2 linked regions of the Medicago truncatula genome follow. The protein of the gene in region 1 interacts with the protein of each later gene in a pairwise test. Links are inferred from orthologs where the notes say so. Each region holds a gene or a part of one and is shown in the gene's direction. Other genes may lie near its edges.

Evidence for each region.
Region 2: the proteins of phytochrome A (region 1) and glucose-induced degradation protein 4 homolog interact in a two-hybrid assay, tested with the Arabidopsis thaliana proteins (3 studies listed by BioGRID). The link is inferred for Medicago truncatula from reciprocal best matches to the Arabidopsis thaliana genes PHYA and AT2G37680.

The regions. Positions count from the first base shown.
Region 1 is NC_053042.1:41,897,621-41,904,751, reverse strand, and holds the start of phytochrome A, read left to right. Parts: upstream 1-4,109; 5' UTR 4,110-4,552; intron 4,553-5,062; 5' UTR 5,063-5,073; coding exon 5,074-7,129; intron 7,130-7,131. UniProt on the Arabidopsis thaliana protein: Regulatory photoreceptor which exists in two forms that are reversibly interconvertible by light: the Pr form that absorbs maximally in the red region of the spectrum and the Pfr form that absorbs maximally in the far-red region.
Region 2 is NC_053045.1:6,954,797-6,961,942, reverse strand, and holds the start of glucose-induced degradation protein 4 homolog, read left to right. Parts: upstream 1-4,122; 5' UTR 4,123-4,217; coding exon 4,218-4,269; intron 4,270-4,376; coding exon 4,377-4,432; intron 4,433-6,833; coding exon 6,834-6,977; intron 6,978-7,146. Other genes in the region: eukaryotic translation initiation factor 6-2, read left to right, coding at 692-822, 932-1,042, 1,118-1,324.

The DNA.
Region 1 (7,131 bases):
GACTCAATTTTTAATCAACAACAACTTAGCTCATGTATTCATGGGTGATAATTTTAGAGACGTCTCCAAACCACTATTTACAACTTCCAACCAACAACTTTTAACATTGTATTAACAAGAATACAATGAATAGAGCTTATTTGTGGCCATTTCTTTTTTATTTATTAGGATAAGAGTGGATGGGAGGAATGTTTGAGAATTTAGATGATTTGCCCACTCTCTCTTGGACGACAAAGGTTATAGCTGCTGGCTAGTAAGCTACCATATGGCAATGTTGATCCCGTATGTTACTGTTTATAAATCATGATGTGTCTTAATTTTATTATTTGAAAGAGATGTGTCTTAATGCATTTATACTTGGAAAATGACATAGATGACTGGTGGATGATCCCGGAAAATTGACTTTGTTCTGCTTATAATTTGACTTGATACCAGTAAACGATTATACTACTATTGTTCATTTGGATTTTGGATTAGTCGACCTTTGAAGTTTCAAAAAAGAAAATAACCGTCTTGCTAAAGTCGTTATCATCAAAACTAGTACGTACCTTTATCCATTAATTGGTTGTCGTCTTGTCGATAATAGTAGTTATCATGGGCGAATTACTAACGACCTTGACGTTATTACTTTTTAGGTTCGTTAAATAAATGATGTATGTGATCTATATTAAAGGTCACATACATCACTTATTTAATGAATTTAAAAAGTAATTTTTTTCCTTTTAATTGTGACTGAAGAGAATACTTTTTTTTATTCATCGGTTCTTGCATTTACCTATCACATTTTGCTACCAACATTCAATTTTATTGTCACTTAAAAAACATTGAATTTTTGTATTGTGATGTGGATTAATTCCTGTCAGTCCCATTTCTTTTTTGATGAATCTAAGTAAATTTCACCAAATCAATAATTTAACTTCCTTTACATTCTTTTTTAGTTTCACAATATAAAGGTTGTGATTTTGAATTTAATTTAAAGACTGATCTAATATTTCTTTTTGTCCATAAAATGAGTGGTAAACGTCATCTAAACATTTTTGTTTAACAAACAAAAATGAGATATATTACCACAATGAAACGGTTCTACTATCTAGCACAAGGAGTGCATAGAAGAGCAGAACAAAAAACAACAAGCATCTTGAATAGTACAAAAAAAGACAGTCAACCAATGCCCAAACATGCAAGAGGTTGCTGCCACCACAAATGGTAACCAAAAGGAAAACAAACTTTTTTGGCTTTCAGCCAATTCCATGAAGTAATTTTGACCTTTTCCATGAGCTGCATAATAGATGTTAATTTGTTGGAAAACAGTCTGTTATTCCTTTCAGTCCAAAGCACATAAACCGTGAATAACCAAATAAGCTGCAAAAACGATCGTCGGATCGGGGTTTAAAACCTCCCGAAGAGTAAGCAAATTGGTGAAAATGATCCATAATATGTTGGGGATCCACCGTATCCACTCAAATCCAAGTTTTTACATGATGCCATAACTCACCAAAAGTCGGGCAGTGAATTAAAAGGTGATTTGTTGTTTCGTTATTACCACAACCGAACACACATAAATGAGAATCAAACGGAATAATACCACGTCGCACCAAATTATCCTTTGTAGGCCACCTGTTGCGAAGAAGTCACCACACACAAATTGAAATCTTCAAAGGAGCATTTTTATGCCAAATTGCGTCAATAACTTCATCGTGATTATGCATCTCCTGCCTCATAAGCATTTGATACACACCACAGACTGTGTATCAATCTACCACATTAGGACGCCACTGCCATATATCAGTAGTAGTTTCCTGCAAAATAACATTAGAAAGCAAAGATATACATTCCTTCATTAGGTCCTCCTCCCAAGCCAACCACCTACGCCGCCACCCCCAAGCATCTCCACCTTCCTCCCAACCTAATAAACACATTTCCGCCACCGTCTTTTCCTTATAAACTGATAAATCAAACAACCTCCTAAACCTGTCCCTAAGTGGGACCGCCCCCACCCAACAGTCGGACCAAAAATAGGTTTTAAAGTCATCTAAACACTTACACACACAAAATATTAAGGCTAATTTAATTTATACATTGTCGATTGAGTTGGGTCACATACAAAATTGATTTGATCTAATCAATTTGAAAGGAACATACATGATTTATTCACTATATATACTCATTTATTATAAAAATAATAGGCAAAATTACTCTCATCATCCATTAAGTTAATTTGAAATAACAATTTCATTTTTTATTTTTTTCTCACGTTATTTTCGTTCTTTTGGTCAATTGGCATATAAATTTTCAAGATTCAAATCTACGATTTTATTTCGATATGAACCCTTACTCAAATATATAGTTCTTTACTCATGTTTTTTTTTTGTCAAGTAGCCTAGTAGTTAGAATTCACATTTTTCAAGGTGAATAAGTGGGGTGTCTAGGGTTCGAACTCCGGCCCTAGCATATAACAATGCATGTCCTTGTCAACTAAGTTATGCTTACGGTGACATTTTACTCATGTTTTTGTTAATAAATTTTAAATTAGTTGATCATTTTTTTAAAAAATACAATGTTTTTTAATAAAAGTCAGACGGAAATATTGATAATGAGCTGGCCCAAAGCTCAATTCAATAGACCAGCCCCATCCCATTTTTATATGGGCAAAAAATGTTCGAGTACATTTTAGATTAGCTTTTTAAACCTGTCCCAACCCAAAATGTCGATTAATGGACTGACCTATTAACTCGTCCCATTTTTTACATCTCTATTTACATAAAGATAAACAACAAGAACTTACCAAAGAAGAAATGTAAAATAAAATAAATTAAGAAACCGAATTTTTATTTTTATTTTTTATAAAAAAAAAAAAAAAAAAAAAAGGAAGAAATCTTAAAGGATAGGAAACCCGAAACCGATTAATAATGCAGTTGAGTAGTATATATGGAGGCATTTCCTTTGAGTCAGTAACGTTACAGTGGTACACGAGGCATGGGCTAATTTGATGAAAGTTTATTTATGTCAGACAGATATATTAGCTGTGAATGTGATCTAAGAGATGAATGTGATATCGAGATATAAACAGTGTCCACCAATTAAAAACAAAGGATATGATGACATGGCATTTGTGTTACTTACTTAGCCGCATATCACCAAAACTTTGAGCCTTTGCACGTGACACCCATAACTTACTCCTTTCTCCATATCCAATGTATGGGACTTGGACCCCATCCAACCAAATTCATCCACCTCATAATTAAATAAAAATTTTATTAATAAATATCTTAACTTTTTTCCACTACTTTTCTTTAGTTAGCAATTTTTTATGTTTAATTATTGTGGGTGGGGAATTAGGACTTAAAACTCAATGATTTATGAACCCTACATGTACCAAAAAAATAATTATTGAACATTGTACCAAAGTGGTGTTAAAAGAATTGACAATATGATTCTTTTTAGGAAAAGAAATTGAGTTTAACTTCTAAAATTGTTCATATAAGAGGTAACACATTTAGATAAAAATATAGATGTTTTTTTGTCGATTTGAGAATGCGGTAATACGACACGCTTACAAGTTAAATATTGTTAGAAAAGCTATCTATTTAGGAGATAGCATAATCTTGATAAAAAAAAATGCAAATACTTTATTGCGAGAGTTAAGTAATACGATGCACTTACGAGTTAAATATTGTTTGAAAAAGTCGTCTATTTAAAAGGTAGCACAATCTGATAAAAAAAACATATGTTTTATTGCGAGAATGTGGTAATACAACGCGCTTATAAGTTAAATATGGTTAGAAAAAAGTCATCTATTTAGGACGTGACACAATCCTAATAAAAAACAAATGCTTTATTGCGATAGTCCGGTAATACGACGAACTTACGAGTTACATGATTAAAAAAAAGTTAATGACCCCTATTAAAATAAATTTAAATTAAGAGCCGACATGAAATCTAAGATGGTAAGTGAATTGAGTGATGTTAGAGAAAAAGGAAGGAAAGTCAAGGAAGCAAGCAGTAACAGTAACTACCATGTTTGTTGTTTAATTAAGTGTATGTGTTATCATGCATTATTTAACTTTCTTTTTTTTCTTATCTATTTTAGGAACAAAGCCAAACAATCAACTTGCCCAAATTAGATATTTTTTTACATATACTATTATAATAATAAAAACAGCACCAAGTAGATGGATGCTGGTGTGATGAGTGAATCTATCTAAGTGTTGGATGATGATTTGATTTTTATATTCTTTATTTATCTTTATTCATTTCATTCCTTCCCATCTTCACATGGGGGGCACCATAAAAAATTGATATATTATATAGTATTTATGGCATGATGGCGGTCCCTTCTCAGTCACAATTGTGTGCTGAATTATACTGACCTTGCTTGGTTGGAGTTGTGAAGTAGAGGCTCCAGCTGGGTGGGAGACAAACAAGGGCGGTGCTTGCTGCTGCTGCTGCAGGTGCAGGGTATGGTATGGTAGTCACATACAATTGGTTATTTTAACCCTTCCTTTCTTGTACTTACTCTTTCACATCAACCAAGTTTTTCCCTTCCAACAAGGTTAGTTAGTTGTTATTTGTTCTTGTCTTGTTGAATTTGCTTCATGTGTTTCTGTTTTGTAAAAGGAAAGAGATACAATTGTTTGATGATTGTAATGATGGATTTGTTTCTGACTTGTTTGGTGTCATCATTGTTTATAGAATCAACTGACAGTACTAATCAATTTTTTTCTGAAAGTTATGATTATTAATGATTACAACCAATTTTTATACTGTCATCTTTCACTTGATGTGTGAGTTTTGTTTATTTTCTTCTATGATTGGGTCACAACTCAAATTATAACTAATTAAAACCTTACATAATTGTTAGTATTATGATTGAGAGTGCTGATTGAACCCTTAACATGTTTTATGAGGAGAGTTACAATTACAAAGATTGACATTCAAGTAAATTAGTAATAGACTTCAAAAGTTCTGCAGTATCACATATGCTCAGTGATGATTCTTATATGGTTTGGATTAACTCGGTAGTTATGTTGTTGTTTTTTTTTTTTAATCATTGTAAATGCAGTTTGTGATAAAATGTCGACCACAAGGCCTAGCCAATCATCCAACAACTCAGGGAGATCAAGAAATAGTGCTAGGATTATTGCTCAGACGACGGTAGATGCAAAACTTCATGCAACTTTTGAGGAGTCTGGTAGTTCCTTTGACTACTCAAGTTCGGTGCGCGTCTCTGGCTCAGTTGATGGAGAGCATCAACCGAGGTCCAACAAAGTAACAACAGCTTACCTCAATACAATACAAAGAGGCAAGCAGATCCAGCCTTTTGGTTGCTTGCTAGCTTTAGACGAGAAAACGTGCAAGGTTATTGCATACAGTGAGAATGCACCCGAAATGCTGACCATGGTGAGTCATGCTGTCCCTAGTGTCGGTGACCACCCTGCCCTTGGCATTGGAACTGACATAAGAACTATCTTCACCGCACCGAGTGCTTCTGCGCTACAGAAGGCACTGGGATTTGCGGAGGTTTCGCTTCTTAACCCTATCCTTGTTCATTGCAAGACTTCTGGGAAGCCATTTTATGCGATCATTCACCGTGTTACAGGTAGTTTGATCATTGACTTTGAGCCAGTGAAGCCTTACGAAGTTCCCATGACTGCAGCAGGCGCATTACAGTCTTACAAACTTGCTGCTAAAGCAATTACAAGATTGCAATCTTTGCCTAGTGGCAGCATGGAAAGGCTTTGCGATACAATGGTTCAAGAAGTTTTTGAACTAACGGGTTATGACAGGGTGATGGCTTATAAATTTCACGAGGATGATCATGGGGAGGTGATTGCTGAGGTAACAAAGACAGGCCTAGAGCCATATCTAGGATTGCACTATCCGGCCACAGATATTCCCCAGGCTGCGCGCTTTTTATTTATGAAGAACAAGGTCCGTATGATAGTTGATTGTCACGCAAAACATGTGAAGGTTCTTCAAGACGAAAAACTCCCATTTGATTTGACTTTGTGTGGTTCGACCTTAAGGGCCCCACATAGTTGCCATTTGCAGTATATGGCTAACATGGATTCAATTGCTTCCTTGGTTATGGCTGTAGTAGTCAATGACAGCGATGAAGATGGAGATAGCGCTGATGCAGTTCTCCCACAAAAGAAAAAGAGACTTTGGGGTTTGGTAGTTTGTCATAACACTACACCAAGGTTTGTTCCTTTTCCTCTAAGGTATGCTTGTGAATTTCTGGCTCAAGTATTTGCCATCCATGTGAACAAAGAAATAGAATTAGAATTTCAGATTCTTGAGAAGAATATCCTGCGCACACAGACGCTGTTGTGCGATATGCTGATGCGAGATGCACCCTTAGGTATTGTATCACAAAGCCCTAATATAATGGATCTAGTGAAATGTGATGGGGCTGCACTCTTGTATAGAAACAAGTTATGGATATTAGGAGCGACGCCGAGTGAACCTCAGATAAGAGAGATAGCTTTATGGATGTCCGAGTACCATACGGATTCGACTGGTTTGAGTACGGATAGCTTGTCTGATGCAGGGTTTCCAGGGGCTCTTAAACTTAATGATACTGTATGTGGAATGGCAGCTGTTAGAATAACTTCAAAAGACATAGTTTTCTGGTTTAGGTCGCACACCGCTGCAGAAATCCGATGGGGTGGTGCAAAGCATGAACCTGGCGAACAGGATGATGGTAGGAAGATGCATCCAAGATCATCATTTAAGGCTTTCCTCGAAGTTGTGAAGGCTAGGAGCATACCATGGAAAGACTTTGAAATGGATGCTATTCATTCGTTACAGTTAATACTGAGAAACGCGTCCAAAGATACAGATATGATTGATTTAAACTCAAAGGCAATCAATACAAGACTAAATGATTTGAAGATCGAAGGGATGCAGGAATTAGAAGCAGTGACAAGTGAGATGGTTCGATTAATTGAAACAGCAACAGTGCCTATTTTGGCAGTGGATGTTGATGGGATGGTCAATGGTTGGAATATCAAAATTTCCGAGTTGACAGGTCTTCCGGTTGGCGAAGCTATTGGAAAACATTTGCTCACACTTGTTGAGGATTCTTCAACGGATATAGTTAAGAAGATGCTTAATCTGGCACTACAGGGT
Region 2 (7,146 bases), on another chromosome or scaffold:
ATTCACTCCCCCTTCCACCATGAAACAAATCACCCAATTGTTTAGGTCACTAAAGAACCTAAACTGTTCTTTATGGTTGATTTTTGGATTTCTTCCATCGACAACACTATTGAAAGCACACCAATTAAAACGTAGCACCGACTAAGTCACTCCTATGTACCACATATTTGGTAAAAGATACCATTTTTATTTGCACTGAAGAATATTTTGAGCTAGGAAACTTTGGTTTAGTGTTATTAGCACCAGAGAGGTGAACAATTATACACTACCTAGACTATTTTTATGGCTTTTGGACAGTTGTCAACAGAAAAACATAAATATACCAGATTGTTTAAAATACTTTTTTAACAAAAGGGTGTTTCATGATGATTGTCTAGACTCAGAGTTATCTGACTATCAAGTATCCAAAAGATACTGTAAGTTTTGTCTGCATGCAAGTATCTGGGATCTTTTATCAGCAGTCTTGGCCTTTCACATTTTGTTTCTTCCATTTTTTTGTTGGGGCGTGATCTGCTTATTTGTCTTTATCAGAACACAAAAATACTCAGAAGTGTTGCCTTTCCTTAATTATCACTTATTACTTTCTTTATATATGGCTTTTATATATACTGTTTCATCTTTGTTGTGGAATAGAACTCCACACCGTTTGTGATAATGCAGTACTTGATATTTTTGCCATGGTTATCTAAAGAATTGCTGCATATAAAAAGAAGTCTGCCTGATGGAGTTGCTCTTCAGCTCATGCAAGAAGAATTGTGTGCTTCTTCAAGATTTATAGCATGTAATGACTATGTGGCCCTTGCGCACGCCGATCTTCACTCGGTATTGTCTTAATTGTACATCATAGATTTCTTTTCCAGGCCACTATCTCATTCTTGTTTAAGACAGGTTGATTTTGATAGAGTATCATTTACTGCCATATATTGTTCAGGATGCTAAGGAATTAATCACAGATATCCTTGGGATAGAAGTTTTCAAGCCGGAAGATTATTATAGTTTTTTTTCTGGAAGTTACTGTGCCTTATCCAACATAGGTGGTTTGGTTAGTACACAAGACATGTTCTCTTGAAAAGTTAAAATTTGTAATTCAGGTCTTTTGACGATATACTTGCTGCAGATCCACCCTCATGCTTCCAAAGAAGTCTTGGATGAACTTTCTGCAGCTCTTGGAGTTCCTTTTGAAACTGGGACCGTCAACCGAGGCAGCCAAGCTATAGCTCCTGGCATGACCGTAAATGATTGGACAGCCTTTTGTGGTTCAAGCACCACAAGAGCAGAGCTCTGTGTGATTGATAGAGTTTTCAAGCTGAGGGAACCATTATGAATGTTGGATGGGACGAGGAAATTGCTCATTAGTAGCTACATTGAGTTTTGGTTTTAATACACTCTTCATCGTGATGATTTCCCGAATGATATGGCAAGCTAATGTCCCTTAGATTTTAAATTAATTTGACCACCGCTTCACCAAAACAAAATTTTAAGACCAACACGCCGTGATTTCCGGCCAGGCAAACTTTCTTTTCGCGACCATATCGTGATCAAATTCTTCTAGATATATAGCATTACTCAGAATTTTTTTTTTTTTTTTTGGGTCATGTTCTATTGTAAATTGATGGTGTACAGATTGAATTTCTTGAAACATGCGTTCTTCATTTGCCATTTTTTTTCTTCCCGTTACTATTTTACTGATTTTGTTAGGTTGGATCTGTGAGGTTTTTATACAAATTGATTCGTGAGTCCAATCAATGTTTTAAACTTGCTGTCATGATTCTAAATTGGCATTTTCATAAATTAGCACAATAAAATGTTATAATAAATATGTAAGGAGTTAACATGTGACAAATTAGTGATAATCATGAAATCATACATCATAACCTTCTAAACTCGAATATGCAAACCAATGCCATAATTATAATACACATATGGGTGTTCTGGAATTAGGCATGGTAATGGGGCGGGGTGGGGACGGGTTTTACATTCCCCGTTCCCATACCCGATTCTCATATACTTACCCGTTACCCTACCCATATCCAACGGGGATGAGAAATTGAACCTCATGCCCGTCTCCGACGAGTTCGGGTATCCCCGTCCCCGCATTGAATAATTTTTTTAATAAAAAATAGAAGTTTTTTTTTGTAACCCCTAGAGAAATTTTGTAATAAATTATCAACAATATGTTCACTTTAACATTTGTTAGACCGATTGATTTAGTTTCTCCTTTAAATATCAATGTTAGTTTTTATAACACGACAATTATCAAACAAAATAACATGGCATATCAATATAAATTAGTTTTTTTGCATTTGGGACGGGTTTGGGTATGGGTTCGGGGTGGGTACATATATACCCTTTACTCGTCCCATACCCGTGTTTTTAAATTGGGGAAAACCCAAACCCATACCCAAACCCAATCAAAACAGAGAAAATCCGTCAAATTGAGTTTGATTCGGGTGGATAACCACGGGTATAGGTTTTGTTGCCATGTCTGGATGTTTTTTATGAAGAAAAAATTAGTGTTTGGTACCCTGAAGTTACAACTTCAATGGTACCCATGTTAATCCTAGGTGGAACTGACTGAAGTCTCTGTGGCTAATTTTTCAATACCCCACCAGCAGTTTCTTCTTTGTTTGACACGGTACAGGCATCAAACATGTTTTCAAATCAGTATACCTGAAATTAAGTTAGCAAAAAATAAATATAAAACAACCTAAAAATAAAATCCTTTAAAAAACCTAAAAATAAAATAAGTGCTTGATAATATTAGTTCAGTTGGCAGGGACATGCATGATTATATGCAGAGGCCGAGGTTCGAACCTCAGACGCCCCACTTATTCACCTTAAAAATGGTGAATTCTAGTCACTAAATTACATGATAAAAAAAAAAAAGTATTAGTCTGTTGTATAGGTAATAAGAAGAACAACTAACTATTTTAAGTAACGGATAAGTGTAAATAAACAATTAAATTATATACAGTTGGAAGTGACCCGTTAGATTTAAAAATGTGTATGTTATTCTATTTTATATATGGCCATTCATTTTTATGATCTAAGCACATGAATGTTTGATTCTGCTTATTTCTATGGTTTTTCACTGATTTCTCTAAATCAAAACAAATAATTAGTTCTGCCATGGTGATAACGGTGTAGCAAATTCAATTAGCCTCTATCAATGCAGAAAGCTAGTGAATCTTTCTAGTTTGAAACTATCCAATTAATCTCGGTAAGTTACAAAGATACTAATGACAGTTTATGATGGTAGCCTTGCCCAACAAATTTTTTTTAGAGTTATATTTTATTTCTTTCAGGTGGTTTTATGCTTGTTACATGGTACATCAAAAATGAAAAACATTTTGCAGGTTTGTTTTCATGTTCATGAATTCATTTGACAACATATAATATACATATGCAAAATAATTGTACATTAATTAAATTCAAAAAATAAATATTTAAGTTTCGTTACCTGTTTTGTCCAGTCTATTAGAGTCTAAAACATATCTTATCAACTATGTCAACCTTCATTTGTCTCTTTTTGTATACAAGTGATATGTGTAATTATTTATATTCGTATACAACTGATATGTTTATTTATTTTACAGGGACCACTTTGCATTTTCACTATGGACAATGTTAACCAATGTTCCCGGAGTATTGGTTAAGCAGCTAAAAAGAGGTAAGATTTAATTAAAAAGTGATGTAATAATTAGTTAGTAAAAAATAACAGTTTATATTTTCAAGATATTTTTTTTAGTTTTGGATTCATTAACCAGTGTCCCGTTAATAAGACCTTTTTTACTATTTTTAATATTTTGTTTAGAAAAATATAAAAAAGTAAATTTGAGAAAAATAATGGTTTAAATATGCAAACTGTCCCTGTAATTTAAGCGCATTTTGATTTTCATCCCTGTAAAAAAAAAATTAATTACATCCCTGTAAAACAAAAATTATTAAAAATGTCTCAGGCCCCACTTCATTGGTGATTTGACAAAATTTTATGCCACGTGGCCCAAAACCTTGCCAAATCACCAATGAAGTGGGGTCAGGACATTTTTAAAACAAATTTTTTTTTTTTTTACACGATGTAATTAATTTTTTTTTTTTTTTCAAATTTACAGAGACTGTTCGTATATTTAAGCCAAAAATAATTTTATGTTCTGATTTCTTCTCTTTGGTCTTTGATTCAAGCACAAGCATTGCGATCAGTCTTCTACATCTACAACATGCCTGTGAGAGTAGCATTGGAAAACATCACAACCCCTTCTCACGTTTCAGGTATAAACATATTCTTCATCTTCTTCTTCTTCTTCGTTTCAGTGATTTTTTTGTGAATATTATTGTTGTTGTTTTCAACAATCTTGTTTGATTTGTTGATGTTTTAGGTGCAAATTCAAGGCGTAATTCATTCCAATCTTGTACTCTTCTAACTGTTGGTCAGGTACTTTCTTCATTTTCATTTTTTTTTATTCTTTTATGCTTTGTTTCAATCTTCAACAAAATGGGTATAGAAAAAAAAAAAAAAAAAAAAAAAAAAACCCTTTTGAAATTGGGTTTCTTTGTTTTATGTTTTTTATGCATTTATTTCAAGTGGGTAAGTCATGGAACATTGGTGACTTATTGTTTATTTAATATTCCATCTGGAAGAAGAAGAAAACATAATTTTAGTGGAAATAATCATTTTAGGTTTGATCAAAGTGATATTTGCTTTCAATCTATGAAGCTTTTATACTGAAAAAATTTCGCGTATACACGTATCCATATTGTGTTGCACCTGCTCGTGTATTACGTATCTGGATTTCATAGGTTTCAATATTGGTAACTATAATTAACTTCTGCTGATGGGAATATATCAGTGATAGTATTAATGAAATTGAAATGTAATTGAGTATTATTTGTTTTTTTCATTGAATCATGAACGAAAGCAATAAAAACATCATTACAGCTTGAGATTGGATTCATTAGAATGGAGGATTGAGTGAATGGTTTGTGTTATGTGCGACTACATTGTGGTTCGAGGAAGACTTTTCTATTTCAATTTTCATAACGGATTAGGAGCTGATTCAATGGTTCTGAAGTTTCTGGAAATGTAGCCAATTGATAGTTTTAGTGAATTTTTTAGCCTAAGATGTATAGCCAAATTCTGGTTTTGGTGAATTTTGAAGCCTGAGATGTATTGGCTGGTCCCTAAGCCATTCCATGGTTTGAAAGGGAACGGAAAAAAAAAAAAAAAAAAAAAAAAAAAAAGAACCCAGCTGTACTGGTTGTATAGCTTTATAAATTGTCGTATAAATGTATTGTATGTGCACCTGTGCCATATATATACCCGATATGTGATATGGCTCTAGGTTTTGGCCTAAGCCCAACAACTAAGCCGAATAGGGAAGTTAGTTACTGATGTGGCATTAGAGATAGAGCCCACTAAATTCTGTTAGTGAGTAGGAATATAGTAGACGGGATAGAATTAGAAATGATGACATTAGAGTGAGAGTTGGGGTGGCACCTATAGTAGAAAAGATGGTAAAAACTAGACTGAGTGGTTTGTGACCTGTGGATTATGTAGTTAGGAGAGTAGATCAGATGGAAGGGAGTTAGATCACCAGAGCTAGGGGTAGACCTAGAAAAACGACAAGAGAAACTATTAGGAAGGATCTAGAGGTAAATGAGTTAGAGAAAGACATGGTTTTTGATACAACACTATAGCGTCCTTTGATTCATGTAGGCTTGGTTGTTGTTGATGTAGCCGACCCACTTAGTGGGATAAGGCTTGGTTGTTGTTGTTATTGTTGAGTGGGAATATCGTGCAGCAGGGGGAGTGAAGGAATCATTCTGGTTTATTCGGAGAATGTCTTCTCATGTAGGAGCTTTGCTCTGGTTTATTTCCCTTCCCGTTGAAGATCCTTTGCCTCTAATGCTGCGTCGGTAACTTTTTTTTAAATGGCAAATATTAGTAGTTAGTTTGTTAGATTAATATTTTCTCCTTTGTCCGGGTTTGAACACAGGCCCTCCAACTCCTTTTCCCTTTGCTGTGTCAGTAACTAACTTCCCTATTCAGTTTAGTTGTTGAGTTTAGGTCCAAACCTAGAGTCCTCTCAGTATGTTTGTAGCTTGCTGGTTTCTGAAGCAATAGATACAGAAAACAACTTCAAATTTTAAACCTCTGAATCACAACATGCTTTTACTCTTTCAGCTAGTATATCTTATTGGACAGAACTTACATCCTGTACAACCGCATTTATAGTTGACACTAGATACTATAAACCTATCATATGAGAACATGTAGCTTATTTGTTCCAATCATATAAACACCGTATTTCAGTATTTTAAGAAGAAAAAAAAGTCAAAAAACACACATGAGGATGTTTTTGCAAAAACATTGATGTTAAGGGAGTAACATCGTGGTTTCATTTTGCTACGGTGATACAAATCGACCTGTTCACTGCTGCTTTCTTCTAGGATCTTTGTTCCCATATTCGTTTGTGAGGTCTCTCACGACTCTCCCTATCGCGCTCTTCCCAAAGTTGTTTTTACTGCCATGCTACTGGGGTTTCAATCCCATTCATTATTTGAAGTATAATAGACGGAAAGGCTTGGTCAATCCAGGGAAGTATAATTAGAAGAAAAAAAATTGGTTAATGGAGGGATCAAGCAAATATCATGAATGGGGACGGTTATAAGACATGATCTCTGAAGTGGAGGGATTATACTCTGATCCATTTGTAACTGGTGGTTTAATTGTTTTAAAATTTGAGGTTACGTGTTACACCTTGATTGGTTAACACGATAAGTAGGGCTTATAGATATAAGTTGTCCTATATTTACAGGATGTTTTATATTTTCAGGCCTTTTCGGGGACGCAGAATGTTTCAAGCTTACAAAAGGATGAAGCATGGAGGGTAAATGTCCGTATACAAGGATGTGACCTTGAGCATGGATATCTATGTGGCACCATGGAAGCTCTTAATGTTCCTATGGCAGACACGCCAGTAAGAAATTTCTCTATAGTTCATTTTTCTTAAAAAGGAAATAAAGAAAAAGAAACCACTTTTTTCCTTTAGAAAATATCCATGTTTATGAGCTCTCTCTAGTTCAGTTTGAACTATTTGTCACAAATTGAATCTGTAAGACAACATTAATCGTATGTAACTTTTTTCA